Regions from separate parts of the Mus musculus genome. Here regions 2, 3 and 4 are each reported to be linked to region 1. The links are microRNA targets in miRTarBase. Many come from high-throughput screens and were not tested one by one. Region 1 holds a microRNA gene; each other region holds the end of a gene's coding sequence. Distances are between the middles of the regions.
The links. Region 1 holds the annotated microRNA mmu-miR-466e-3p (UAUACAUACACGCACACAUAAGA, at 1,716-1,738, opposite strand). A microRNA usually pairs through its seed, bases 2 to 8, with sites in the 3' UTR of a target mRNA and lowers its output. Matches are read on the target gene's strand: a 7mer-m8 pairs with bases 2 to 8, a 7mer-A1 pairs with bases 2 to 7 and ends in A, and an 8mer does both.

Region 2: the mRNA of Pdxk is a reported target of mmu-miR-466e-3p. Seed matches in the 3' UTR shown: 8mer at 761-768.
Region 3: the mRNA of Hecw1 is a reported target of mmu-miR-466e-3p. The part of its 3' UTR that is shown has no 7-base or 8-base seed match.
Region 4: the mRNA of Csrnp3 is a reported target of mmu-miR-466e-3p. The part of its 3' UTR that is shown has no 7-base or 8-base seed match.

Annotation. Positions count from the first base shown.
Region 1 is chr2:10,477,691-10,480,875 of GRCm38, reverse strand. It overlaps Mir466e (microRNA 466e), which reads right to left and starts at 1,788; the gene lies at 1,705-1,788. All of the region lies in intron 10 of Sfmbt2 (Scm-like with four mbt domains 2), which reads right to left. Mir669j (microRNA 669j) reads right to left here and starts at 2,966; the gene lies at 2,846-2,966. Mir467a-2 (microRNA 467a-2) reads right to left here and starts at 2,078; the gene lies at 1,996-2,078. It also overlaps Mir669a-4.
Region 2 is chr10:78,438,025-78,441,207 of GRCm38, reverse strand. It overlaps Pdxk (pyridoxal (pyridoxine, vitamin B6) kinase), which reads left to right. Exons shown (of 11, transcript NM_172134.2): 10 at 5-71; 11 at 295-3,183. The coding sequence ends at 407. Among named protein-coding and RNA genes, the nearest start is that of Mir6410, 4.8 kb to the right of the region's middle.
Region 3 is chr13:14,227,897-14,231,081 of GRCm38, forward strand. It overlaps Hecw1 (HECT, C2 and WW domain containing E3 ubiquitin protein ligase 1), which reads right to left. Exons shown (of 29, transcript NM_001081348.3): 29 at 1-2,864. The coding sequence ends at 2,753. Among named protein-coding and RNA genes, the nearest start is that of Gm26129, 140 kb to the left of the region's middle.
Region 4 is chr2:66,022,373-66,025,557 of GRCm38, reverse strand. It overlaps Csrnp3 (cysteine-serine-rich nuclear protein 3), which reads right to left. Exons shown (of 7, transcript NM_153409.5): 7 at 1-3,185. The coding sequence ends at 2,535. Among named protein-coding and RNA genes, the nearest start is that of Gm52514, 95 kb to the right of the region's middle.

The DNA.
Region 1 (3,185 bases):
TGAATTTGAACTCCTGAGACTCCTAACTCTGGCAAGTGGTTTTCATTTGATAAGTGAGATTTTTCCCTATACCATGAATATACACTCAATGAAACTCAAAGCACGCATAAATCAAATGGATGACTGCCATGTGTGTTTGTGTGCACATGTATGTGTCCCTAGTTGTGTGTGTGTGTGTGTATACATATATACATATATATACATATATATATATGCATGTTCATATACGCGCATGTACAGGCATACTTCCCTATACACATAAACACAAACACAGGGAAAATCACATGAATTCCGGGCTGATCTCTAACTCATCATAAAGTTAAACATGAATTTGAACTACTCATCCTCATGATGCTGGCAAGAGTATTCACCTCCTAACTGAGTCATAGCTCGGGCCATTCGTGGGAATATGTTTGCATGTGAGTATATGCATATTCATATACAGAAGTGAATATATACACAACTATACACACATGCACATTCTTGGTGGGCATCACATGAATCGCATACTGAACTCTAACTCATCATGAAGTTAAACATAAATTTGAATTCCTCATCCTCCTGACACTGGCAAGAGTACTCACCTCCTAACTGAGACATAGCTCTGGCCATTCCTATGAATGTGTGTGCATGTGTGTATATGCATATTCATATAGAGAAGTGAATATGCACACAACTATACACACATGCAAATTTTTGATGGGCATAAGATGAATCCCATGCTGGTCATGAACTCATCATGAAATTCAGCACAAATTTGAACTCCTGATCCACCTGACTCTGTCAAGGGATTTCACCTGCTGAGTGAGACCTCTCCCCATTCAGTACTGAGGAATCTTAAAACTCTAAGTCACACGTCATTCAAATGGATCGATGAGTTGCACTGATGTTTGTGTGTGTGTTTCTGTTTGTGTCTGTGTACATGTATATATTTGTGTAGATAGGTACATCCATATACTCAAATCCACACACAATAGAAACAGATACAGATAGGGATACATAGGGGCATCACATGAATCCCAGGCATATCTTAAAGTCATCATGAAGTAAAGCATGAATTTGAACTCCTGATCCACAATCTTTCACACCTGGTGAGTAAAACCATTCACTGTCCCAAACTGCATAATCTAAAACTTTAAGTCACATATCATTCAAACGTATAAATGAATGCAATTTTTTTCTCTGTGTCTGTACTTGCATATACACGTGTGTTTATATTTTGTATATCATGTCAACAGAGGCAATGCATATACAAGTAAACACACATGCACATACATGGGTGGCCTCACATGAATACCAGGATGATCTCTAACTGAATTAAGCATGAATTTGCAATCCTTATCCTCCTGACTTTGTCAATCTTTTACACCTGGTGGGTGAGACCATTCAATGTCCCCTATTGCATAATCGCTAAAACTCTACATCACTTATCATTCAAAGGGATTGGCGAATGCCATTCCTGTGTCTGTGTATGTGTGCTTGCGTTTATACGTGTGTGTGTATGTTATGTATATTCAAATATAGACATGAACATGCACACACAACTATACACACATGCACATACATGGAGGAATCACAGGCTGATCTCTCATGAGGATAAGTATGAATTTGAACTCCTGATACCCTTAACTCTAGCAAGCATTTTCACTCTAAGTCACTTATCACTCAAATGGATTGATGAGTGCCATTCCCATGTGTCTGTGTGCTCATATGTGTCTTATGTGTGCGTGTATGTATATGTATATCATATTCACATATGTACATGTACACACACATCAACACATACACACATACATAGGGGCAATCACATGAATGCCAGGATGACCTCTAACACATCATGCCTTTACCATGAACTTGCACTCCTGATCTTCCCGACTCTACCAAGGGTTTCCCGTGGTTTGTGAGACCTCACCCTGGCCCAGTCATACATAACCTCCAAAGCAGTAGGTCACATATCATTCAAATGGATCCGTGAGTGCCATTCCCGCATGTCTGTGTGCATGTGTGTGTAGGTGTGTGTATGTATATGCATAAAATATACACGCATATACATGCAGGCACTTACGCACACAGGCACATACATAGGGGCCATCACATTATTCCAGGATGATCTCTAACTGCTCATGAAGTTAAGCATAAAATTGAACTCCTGATCTTCCTGACACTGCCAATTGTTTACACCTGGTGAGAGAGAATATTCACTGTCCCTCTACTTTATAATCAGCAAAATTCTAAGACATATATCATTCAAATGGATCAATGAGTGTCATTCTTATGTGTGTGAGTGTGCATGCCTGTATGTGTGAATACATTTGTATGTGTGTGTATTTACAGGGATGATCATATATACACATGTACGTGCACACACAATTATATGCAAATGTACATAACTAGGGTCGATCCCACAAATCCAGGGTGATCTCTAACTCATCATGAAGTTAAGCATGAATTTGACCTCCTGAGACTCCTAACTCTGGCAAACAGTTTTCATTTGATAAGTGAGATTTTTCCCTATACCATGAATATAAACTCAATGAAACTCTAAGCACGTATAAATCAAATGGATGACTGCCATGTGTGTTTGTGTGCACATGTATGTGTCCCTAGTTGTGTGTGTGTGTATATATATATATATGTATGTATATATATATATATATATATATATATATGCATGTTCATATACGTGCATGTACAGGCATACTTCCCTATACACATAAACACAAACACAGGGAAAATCTCATGAATTCCGGGCTGATCTCTAACTCATCAAAAAGTTAAACATGAATTTGAACTGCTCATCCTCATGATGCTGGCAAGAGTATTCACCTCCTAACTGAGTCATAGCTCGGGCCATTCGTGGGAGTATGTTTGCATGTGAGTATATGCATATTCATATACAAAAGTGAATATGTACACAACTATACACACATGCACATTCTTGGTGGACATCACATGAATCGCATGCTGAACTCTAACTCATCATGAAGTTAAACATGATTTTGAACTCCTCATCCTCCTGACACTGGCAAGAGTGCTCACCTCCTAACTGAGACATAGCTCTGGCCATTCCTATGAATGTGTGTGCATGTGTGTATATGCATATTCATATAGAGAAGTGAATATGCACACAACTATACACACATGCACATTTTTGGTGGGCATAAGATGAATCCCATGCTGGTCAT
Region 2 (3,183 bases), not on the chromosome of region 1:
ATAGGTGGCCTGTGAGAAAACCGTGTCTGCCATGCAGCACGTCCTACAGAGGACCATCCGGTGTGCAAAAGGTACCTGTCTGTGCTCTGTCTTCCACGGGAGTAGTCCCTGATTGGAGGTGGACAAGAGGGAGGGGGAGCTCTCCCTTCCAGCCTCTGCCTCCTGCTATGTTAGAAGTGAGGCAGCAGGGGGCAGTGTGGCACCCCCTCCTGAAGCAGGAATTCAGAACTATGGGAGAGGGAAGGGTGTCTTAGGTTCCATCCTGCCTGCTCTGATCTTCCCTGTGCTCTGCAGCTGAAGCAGGAGAAGGACAGAAGCCCAGCCCCGCTCAGCTGGAGCTGAGGATGGTCCAGAGCAAAAGGGACATCGAGGACCCCGAGATCGTCGTGCAGGCCACAGTGCTGTGAGGACCACACCCACTCGCCCCGACACACAGCCAGCTGAGGTGTCCGTCTCCATCCCTGTGAAAAGCTGTAACGTCTGCCTTAGAGCCATGACTGAAACTCGACATCCGTGTTCCTTCCCGAGAGTCGGGTCTCAGCCAGTCTCTAGCGTGAAAAATGTGCCATTGTGCTATTTTTTTAAAAAATGACAAAGCCGTCGTAGAAATGTGTGATTCACAACCATGGTCCCTTCCCCAAAGGCCCTGGGCCTCTGACTGCCTCATGTTGCCTCATAGGTATGTGGAAGGTAGGTGGAGGAGACCAGCCTGCTGCCTCTGGACCTTTCTGTTGGTCACTGGCTGCCATTGCCCCCTGTGTATGTATACACAGTCCTGATTGTGTATAGACTCTGCCTGTGTCGGCGCTGTCTTTAAAATGGGGTTAGGTCTTAACCGTTGGCATTGGAAGAATTATGCCAAATATCTTCTTTGCCATTCTGGTCTTTCCCTTGTTCCTGCATTAGAGTTTCTGTGTCTCTGCTGCTCTTTGGGTGGTGTCCCAGAATGTCAGACGAATGCAGCTGCTGGTCTGCGAGGGAAGGTTTCATATCCCCGTGCTTGCACAAGCATGCGGTCACTGTGACAGGGACCTTTTAAGGAACGGGAACATTCCAGGACATCTGCAAGCCGTCTGGGTGTCTGCAGGGTCTCCTGTAACTCTGGAGCTGAGTGCAGGGCAGCTTGGGAATTCAGGGAAGTTTGCCTCACTGGGCTTTTTTTTTTTTTTGGTTTTGGTTTTGGTTTTGATTTTTCAAGACAAGGTTTCTCTGTGTAGCCCTGGCTGTCCTGGAACTCACTTTGTAGACCAGGCTGACCACAAACTCAGAAATCCGCCTGCCTCTGCCTCCCGAGTGCTGGTATTAAAGGCGTGGACCACCATGCCCGGCTCTCACTGGGCTCTTGTGGGCACTCACACAGCCCCTGCAGGACTGTCAGGTGGCAGTTCACCTGCCACATGCTGCTGGGGACAGTGCATTGCTGCACAGGGGGTTGGACAGACAGGGAAGGAGAGACAGAGGTGGCTCCTGCCCCCTGGTGGCAGACTGAAGTGCGGGTTTTCTCCACTCCCCTCACCCTCATTTCTGGATTCTGTGCCCACCTCATGCTGAGGGGCCAGGGGCCCTGATGTGAAGCCAGGGCCTCTGCCTCCTTGGAAGGTCTTCTCCTCTACAGAGCACATTGGCATTGTGTATGCAGGGGCAGCTCTTAGACCCCAGCTGGGGACTGTGACGTGTCCCATTGTCTACTGCTCGGGGGTGAACTTCCTGGCTCTGCTTTCCAGAGTTTAGGGTCCCTAATCATGGCTGCGAGCCGCACCCATATCCCTGCTCCTCAGTCCTTAAGATATCTATCTTCTGAGAAGCCACAGCCTAAGGAGACCAGGGAGACTGGGAGAGGTGAAGAGTGCATTATGCCTACCTCTTCCCCAGAAGCATAGGGTCTCCATGGAGCTCTGAGAGCGACACCCTTTCCCCATTATGATGCCCCAGATGGAGGAGATAGATGCTGGTCCACATGGACCTGAACCAGCCCGTATTCTGAGGTGTCCGTTAATAAGCCTTTTACAGCTTTGAAGGAAGCAGAGAACTGGGCTCTCTCTCTCTCTCTCTCTCTCTCTCTCTCTCTCTCTCTCTCTCTCTCTCTCTCTCTCTCTCTCTGTCACACACACACAATGTAATTTTAAAAAGTACTTTGGTCATCAGTACCCCAGGACAAGATTAGCAAGCTCTCTGTTAAGGCCATGAAGCCTGACATGTGTCCAAACCTGGTGCCAATGTGGCACCTCTGAGCCCCAAGAAAAAAGAAAGCAAAGACAGCAGGCCCCTAGTATCCAAATCAGAATTGGCTTTTACTTTTACTTTATTTTAGTAAGGAAGTAATGTGCTTGGGAAGGAAGCTGCATTAGCCCAGGGTTAGCCGCTTCCTATTGGGGACATTGATTCTGTCTCAAAGTATCTCCTTCCACCTCCTGAATACTAGGAAGGAATCACCACACCACATATGACCAGTGCTCCCTTTTATTGCTGCTATCTGGGGTGCCTCTCTTCCAGACATCCACGCAGCTACCTGCACTGAGAGGTCCTGGAAAGCCATGTCTGTCCATGTGACAGATGGATGCTGACCACAAAAGCCACCAGTGGATGCTAAGAATGGGTGTCCCTCCAAGGGGCAGTTCTGGGAGGTCAGGTTCAATGTGAGGTTACAATAGAGCTGCAGTCTCTGTAGGGAAAGCGGTGAGTCAGGGAAGGCTTGAACCTGGTTCCCAGGTCTGAGTGAATGTCACTCCCCAACCCCCTGAATGATAGAGACGCACCCTGGGATGGAGGTGCGGCTGGACATGCATGTGCCAGTCCTGATGCTTTCCCACACTTTCTGTGACAGCTGTAGATGGTGCCAGTCCTGCAGAACCAGAGAAGAGAGGTTTCTACCTCCACTTGCAGTTTCAGTATCCACCAGCAGGGGTCGGGGTGGAGCCGGAGCAGTGTCAGAGGCCCAGGTGGATGCTGGTACCAGCAGATTAAACAGCAGCCATCCTGCTGGGAGATTTGGTGGTTGTTTTTTACTGTGTACATCTTTCTGTTGGGCCTCAGACTTGGCGTTGTGCAACACCTGACAGTAAGTGGGAGTCAGTGTGTCCCCAGGTCAGCCTGACATCCCAGGAAGCCATTGTGTCGTCAGCATGGCCAGAACTGACAGTTTGTGTTTCCTTGCTGACTCTGGTTTATTCTTGTGGCAGGCAC
Region 3 (3,185 bases), not on the chromosome of region 1:
TTTGGTGTCAGTATAAATGACATTTTTAATTTTTCTAGAATACTATTAGTATATAAAGAGGGGTTCACAAGTCCCCAGCCCTATCTGAGGAGCTATTGACAGCCGATAGCTGCTAAGAGTCAGTTTTCTTTCTTTCCTTTTGTCTTTTTTTTTTTTTTTTTTAGAGTCTTACTAGGTAACTCTGGATGATCTGGAATTTGCTCTGTTGACCAGATTGGCATTGAACTCACAGAGCGCTGCCTGCCTCTGCCTTCCAAGTGCTGGGATTAAAGGCATTTTAATGCCATAAAGGTGCACCACTGCGGCCGGCTATGACAATCAAATATGTATATGTGTATGTACACACACACACACACACACAAAATGATACATTTATATCTTCCAGGGGATGACCTCATACTAATTTAAGATATGGACAAACAGCACAAATTGGACTCAATGGGTCATTAAAAAATGACATGACACTGAGAAGGAATGGAATATTGGGGAGTGAATGAACAAGGAGTTAGGGAGAAGAGTGTTAGGTGAATATGATTGAAATACATCGCAATAACTTCAAATAATTAAAACGAGTATGTTAGAAATGCTATTGCTCTTGGGATTTGTGTAGAACCTTGCATAAGGGTAGAGGTATAACTAAAAATTAATTTAAAAATGCATTTATCTGAGTTTCTTATTCACATGTCATTTCTAAGAAAATTTCTTCCTTCTGTATGTTGGTAGACTATATATTAATCTATTTAATAGATTGTCTCATTTCTGCAAATTGTAAAGCTCTTCAGGAGCAGCTTCCTACATTTGAACAACATTCTCCTTTTCAATGTATGGCAAGTCAGTGGTAAAAAACTTGAATGGTTGAATTTTTTTGTGAGGTTTTTATGTATGTATAAGATGAATTCTAAATATGCTATTCTAGGAGTTAAAGATTTAGTGAAAATGACTTTAGCAGTGCTTTTGTTCCGAGTTCATTAGTAAATAACAGCGCCATTGGACTTATTTTTCAGATTCTGAAATATGGGCCAAATCTTACCCCTCAAGCTGTGTTTCATACAATGTACATCCCATTTTTTAGTAAAACTTATTTTTGATAGCAATAGAAAACTAAGTTTGTATCATATATACTTCTTGCTTAACAAAGAAACACAGGAACACAGAGTGTCTTGGCATTGTGAATAATTTTTACTAAGAAAATATTTTAATGTGCAGGAACAAAACACACTGCTGTACTGAGCCACGAGGCATGGCTTCATCCTAAGTTAGCTTTACATTCTCAGACTTGTTCTTTTATTTTAATATGTTGACTACAACAATGAATATTTAAATAGTTGGGTCTCTTTAGCTTTTTTTTTTCCCAGTGAAGAAAAACCACTTTCATTTATGTCGTATTTCAGACAACATGGATAACATGGTTACAAAAAATAGCAAATGACCATTATGGTTAAATTTATCTCAAATGTACTTAAGATGCCAGGCTGTCTGTGGAGCCTGTGATTGTTTTTCTAAAAACACATTTTCTTAAATATTTTGCTGAATGCTTTAAAAAAATGGATTTTTTTTTTGTGGACACAAGTCAGCGTGCCTTTGAAGAATCACTAAGGATGAAGGAAAAGTTTATATTGCCCGTGATCCTTAACAAGCACCATCGTGCTCTGCAGCTTTGTATGTGGTGTCTGTGAACATCAGATGTGACAGAATTTGAACACCATGATTTAAAAAAAGGAAAGGAAAGGAAAAAAAAAAGAATGAGAAAAGTATCAAAGCTAAAAAGAAGCAAAAGTTTGGCCTATCACGTAAATAAACTTGGCTGCAACAAAAGCCATGAGATTTATTTGGACTATGTGTGCGTGAGAATAGATTAAACAAAATTCATCGATTGGAATAAATGTCATATGTCCTGTCCTTTTTCCTGTTTGCCTTATCACTTTTTATGGTGACAAAATTAGAGGTAAAGGCTCATCCTTCAATCTACAGCAATTAGGATTTGCTCCTTGAACATGGTACACAAGTTTGTGCTTCTTGGGTGGTGAGGGTTCACCAGGGCAGATCCCCCACCTCACTTTTCTGAACTCAAGTTGATTTCATAGTCCATATAACCCTTGGATTTACTGATAACCTTTTCCTTCTTGCTGTTGTTAATTGCTGGAAGTTTCATATTTGCACCATATGTCTAGGTTAGTTCTGGCTGATGGGGCTGATACCACTATGAATCATGAGTTGAATGAAGAAAACGTTTCTGTGTGGCCTTGGCTGTCCATTTGGATAGAATGAATAGGAAATGTAGAGATAGAAAGGAAAAAATTAGTCAGCTCCCAGGTCTGGAAATAGTTGCTAGAAATTAGGAAAAATGGAGGTTCTGTTTGGAAGACATGGGCATTTAAAAGCATGGAATGCTTACAGCTCAAATTATCTTTAAATGATAGAAATGGAAGTAAACATTTATTACCATTTCGTCAAGTGTAGCATAACTTGCACTCATATTTCATTGTTAGGAATGGAGGTATGTGGAAGTATACACAGACCTTGAGACAGCTGTTTTGTAGTATTGCATACAGGCTAGCAGTTCATTGGAAACAGAGGAGATAAGCCTGAAGATTAGATCTTAGAAGAAGGCAATTCTTCATGCACAGCTTTTGCCAATTCTAATTTGCTTTGAAATAAAAATCATGGAATACCAAAGTCAAAGGAGGGAGTAAGTCATCCCAGAGAGGGTGGTGTCACTGTTCAGGACAATGCCAGGCAAGGCTCCACGTCTTCACTCAAGTCCAAAGGTGCTGGTTTCTTCTACTGCTGTTAACAGCTTTTCATACAACATGGAATATGAAGGGTATGGTGGGAGATCCAATCGGTTGAAGCACGTATGTGCCCTGAGTTGGGGAGAAAATACTGGTGAGGGTATTTTAAGGACTGCTTTTGGTTACACTGATTACTTAAAAGAGGAAATCAAAAGTAAGCCAGACAATGATTTTGGTCAATCAAAAAAGACTGCAAATGGCAAAGCATGGCTGTTGAGATACAACAAGTTTAGGAAATTGAAGACCTAGAAACAGTTAATTGTTATTTGTAAATAAAACTACACTATACTACAAGCACAGTAGAGAACCAACAGTCAAGTCTATGCTATTAGCCTAATTTGAAATTTAAATAATATGAAGGAGGTGGAGACTTTATTAGTGCTAATGGATCAT
Region 4 (3,185 bases), 56 Mb from region 1:
GTATTCATTACTACCTACTGCCCACAATCTGCCCCTCTCTAGAGGATGTTGTATGTGTATTCTGTGTTTGTGTGTGTCTAATAAAGATAAGGCAAGTAGGGTTTGATTTGCTATTGTTGCTAAAATAGATGGCCTGTAACGATTCTGATTCATGAGGGATGTCTACTTAGGGATGTGAAAACTTAGCATGTCTGTTTTCATGCTTAGAAAGGTAATTATCCTTAGCAGAGTGAAACTTTTTATCTCACTTGAATAGAGAAAGGAAGAAAGCTCTGTTTCTGAAAAGCAAGGACTACAAAAGAAAAACCAAATGAGATACAAAAATGCTCCAAACTTTGTGAAAATAAAGCTGGACTGAAAGAAACATCTCTGAGGATCCAGGAAGTGGACTGTCATTCACCAAATCAACTCTACCTTAGTCAGGATTACCCGGGGCCGCCCCACACTCTGTTCCAAGAATAGCCTGCGAGTGTCTCACCAGGAGATACTTCCAGAGGTTGGAATGGCCCAGCAAATATGGAACACAGAATTCTTTCATTAGCTTGAACGAAGGAACAATAGCTTTTTGTCATTTCTTCTCTGAGCCCCTGCCCTTTAGATTGTGTGGGCAGGAGGCAGCCTAACTGGAAACCAAATGCTACTGATGGCAACGCTGCAGAGAACTCTGGACATATTACCACAGAATTCCCACCAGATTAGCCCCACCGGTCAACCAAAAGGAGTAGTCAGCCCCCATTACTGCTTTCAATAGCATGACAAACCCAAAGTCCTTTTAATGGTAGTAAAAATTAGCGTTGATTTATTTAGTCTTGAGGTGGTTTAGAGAAGAAACAACTCCACAAGCGAACGTACTTTCCCCACATGGAGTTTAAGTAGCGGCTTCCCACCAGAGGACTCTGAAGCACATTCAAGCCTCGTCAGATCAAATAGTATTCTGTAAGGAACTGAAATCCGAAAGTTATTCAAATGCCCACATCAAGGAGGCATAAAAAACTTAGAAGACGCCGTTACTACGAAGTAGGGGTGTGTCTGCGTTTTTAAATAGCCATAAAGTATGAGAAATGATGCCACAATACAATGTCAAAACTGGAAAACAGATTCAGCAGAATAACTGCATGGGGGAAACCGTAACACTCGTTCTATAGCTGCTTAAGCTGATGGGAAAGAAGTTGCTCCAAGTCCTCTGAGGTGAGGCTCGAAGCAGGCGGGCGGGGAGTGTCTCCTTTCTATTCGTTCTCTTTACTAAGGAAGAGAAGGTGAGGTGGCTGCCTTCGCAATGCATTCTGGGATGTGCTGCTGACTACCCCAGGCAAGACAGACTTTTTTTTTAAAAAAAGCTCCAGAAAACGAAGCCTAATGAGTCAGTGAGCCCAGGCCTGCCTTGAATCAGCTAGCCATTAAGTGGCATTACACATTTTTGCATTTGTAGAGGGTGATGGGGTGCTGAGGCTCTGCCCCCACCCCCAGCCTTCTCGCTGTAAGGATTGAGTTAGGTCCTAGAGCGGTGAAGGAAAACAAGAAACAAGTCATTTTCCTTCATGTCATTGGAAGAATCCTCTCTCTCTATTGTATGAACCTTAGTTACTTTTTTTTAATAATTAAAAAAAAAATATTTCAAAGCCTTCTGAGACCCCATCCCACACGAGGTACCGTGAAGGGGCACTAAAGTGCATTCTGAAGGAGGGAGTTGAGTTTAAAGGTGCTGTCCAAGCTAAGAAACAAGATGACACTGTTTAACAAAGGAAAGGCAATTCCGTCTATCTCAGCTGAGGGAGAGCGGAGGACTAGACCCTCGCCAGAGGATTGTCCTAACTCTTAACGTGAGAGAAAACTGCATAAGGACCTGCACGTATAGACTCATTTGTCCCAAATAGCAAAAATAGGCCTATTTCATCCTTAAGAAAGTATTTGCAAATCTGCTGAGTCATGATCGTAAAAATGTGGGTGGATTCCAGATGCAATCGTCTGGGCATGCTCTGTGGTGCTAGCTAACACGTCTTCAGCTTCAATGAACATGCTGTTCATTTTCTTCAAAGCATGACTTCTAAACTACCATAAATAAAATACACAAGAAACGATTCAATCTTTTTTTTTCTTACAATAATTACTTTTACATTAAAAAGTCACCATCATCTTCAGATATATCGAAAAATTAGGACTCTAAATCTGCTTGTTTTCTAGTCTTAGTTAACAATCTTGCACAGGCCCGATAATCTAAAACTTGGAGCTATGATCTGCATAGCTTGGCAGGTTTCACACAGTTTGACAGGTAGGCAACTGTAAGATATGCATTTTTTTTAAATTTAGCATTTTTCTATCAAAACAGTTCAAAATCGTTTAAAATCCCCATAGCGACTGTATTTGTGCCACGCCACAGTTGGGAAGCTAGAAAGGAAGGAAGGAAATACTGTCTGGAAGATTAATCACAGTCCACATAACTCTTGGCCTTCAGGTTTAAACAACGATGAGCCCAGCAAAGGCAATACAGTGCCTTAAATAGAAGACTTGGTCCTGTAATAGAATAATTTAAGCAACTAAACGGGGACCGTTTCCACCACGGGGGACTGAATGCACTCTTCATGCAATCTGCTCTTTTCTGCAAGGCTCAAAGGATTTTCTGCAGGATGCTCTGAAATGTGGCTGTCGCCATTCAATGTGGAAACAAACCCTTCCTGGGCAGGGCCTTTCAAGTATGAGTGAAACTCCACTTGGGGAAGATTGGACCTGTGTTCAGGATACAAGGGGTTACAGGGCACCCCACTATCGTTTTCAGAGGTGGGGCAGCAAACGATGACAGACGGATTGGCAGCTGGGTAGTGGGAGGCTCCATAGGCCTCTTCTGCTTGCCTGGCGTAGTCAACAAACCTCTCTGGGGTCATGGCGTAAGGCACCAGCGAAAGGGCACCGTTTTTGACAGTATCTCTTTCAGAATAGTTGTCAGAGAGCTGGCTAGGAGTTCCTGGGATGTGACTATCTATTTGGTAGTAGAGAGTTGAAGAGCTAGCGTAAAATGAAGCATTTTTTGTGTGGCTTTCATGAACTGCGGTGCCATCAGAGTAACAAAGGACAGACGGAAGGGGGACGACCTCCGTATGGGCTCCGAGCCCTTCTACAAAGCCATCTCCCTTGTCGTCGTCGTCATCTTCCTCCTCCTCTTCCTCTTCTTCTTCCTCCTCCTCCTCTTC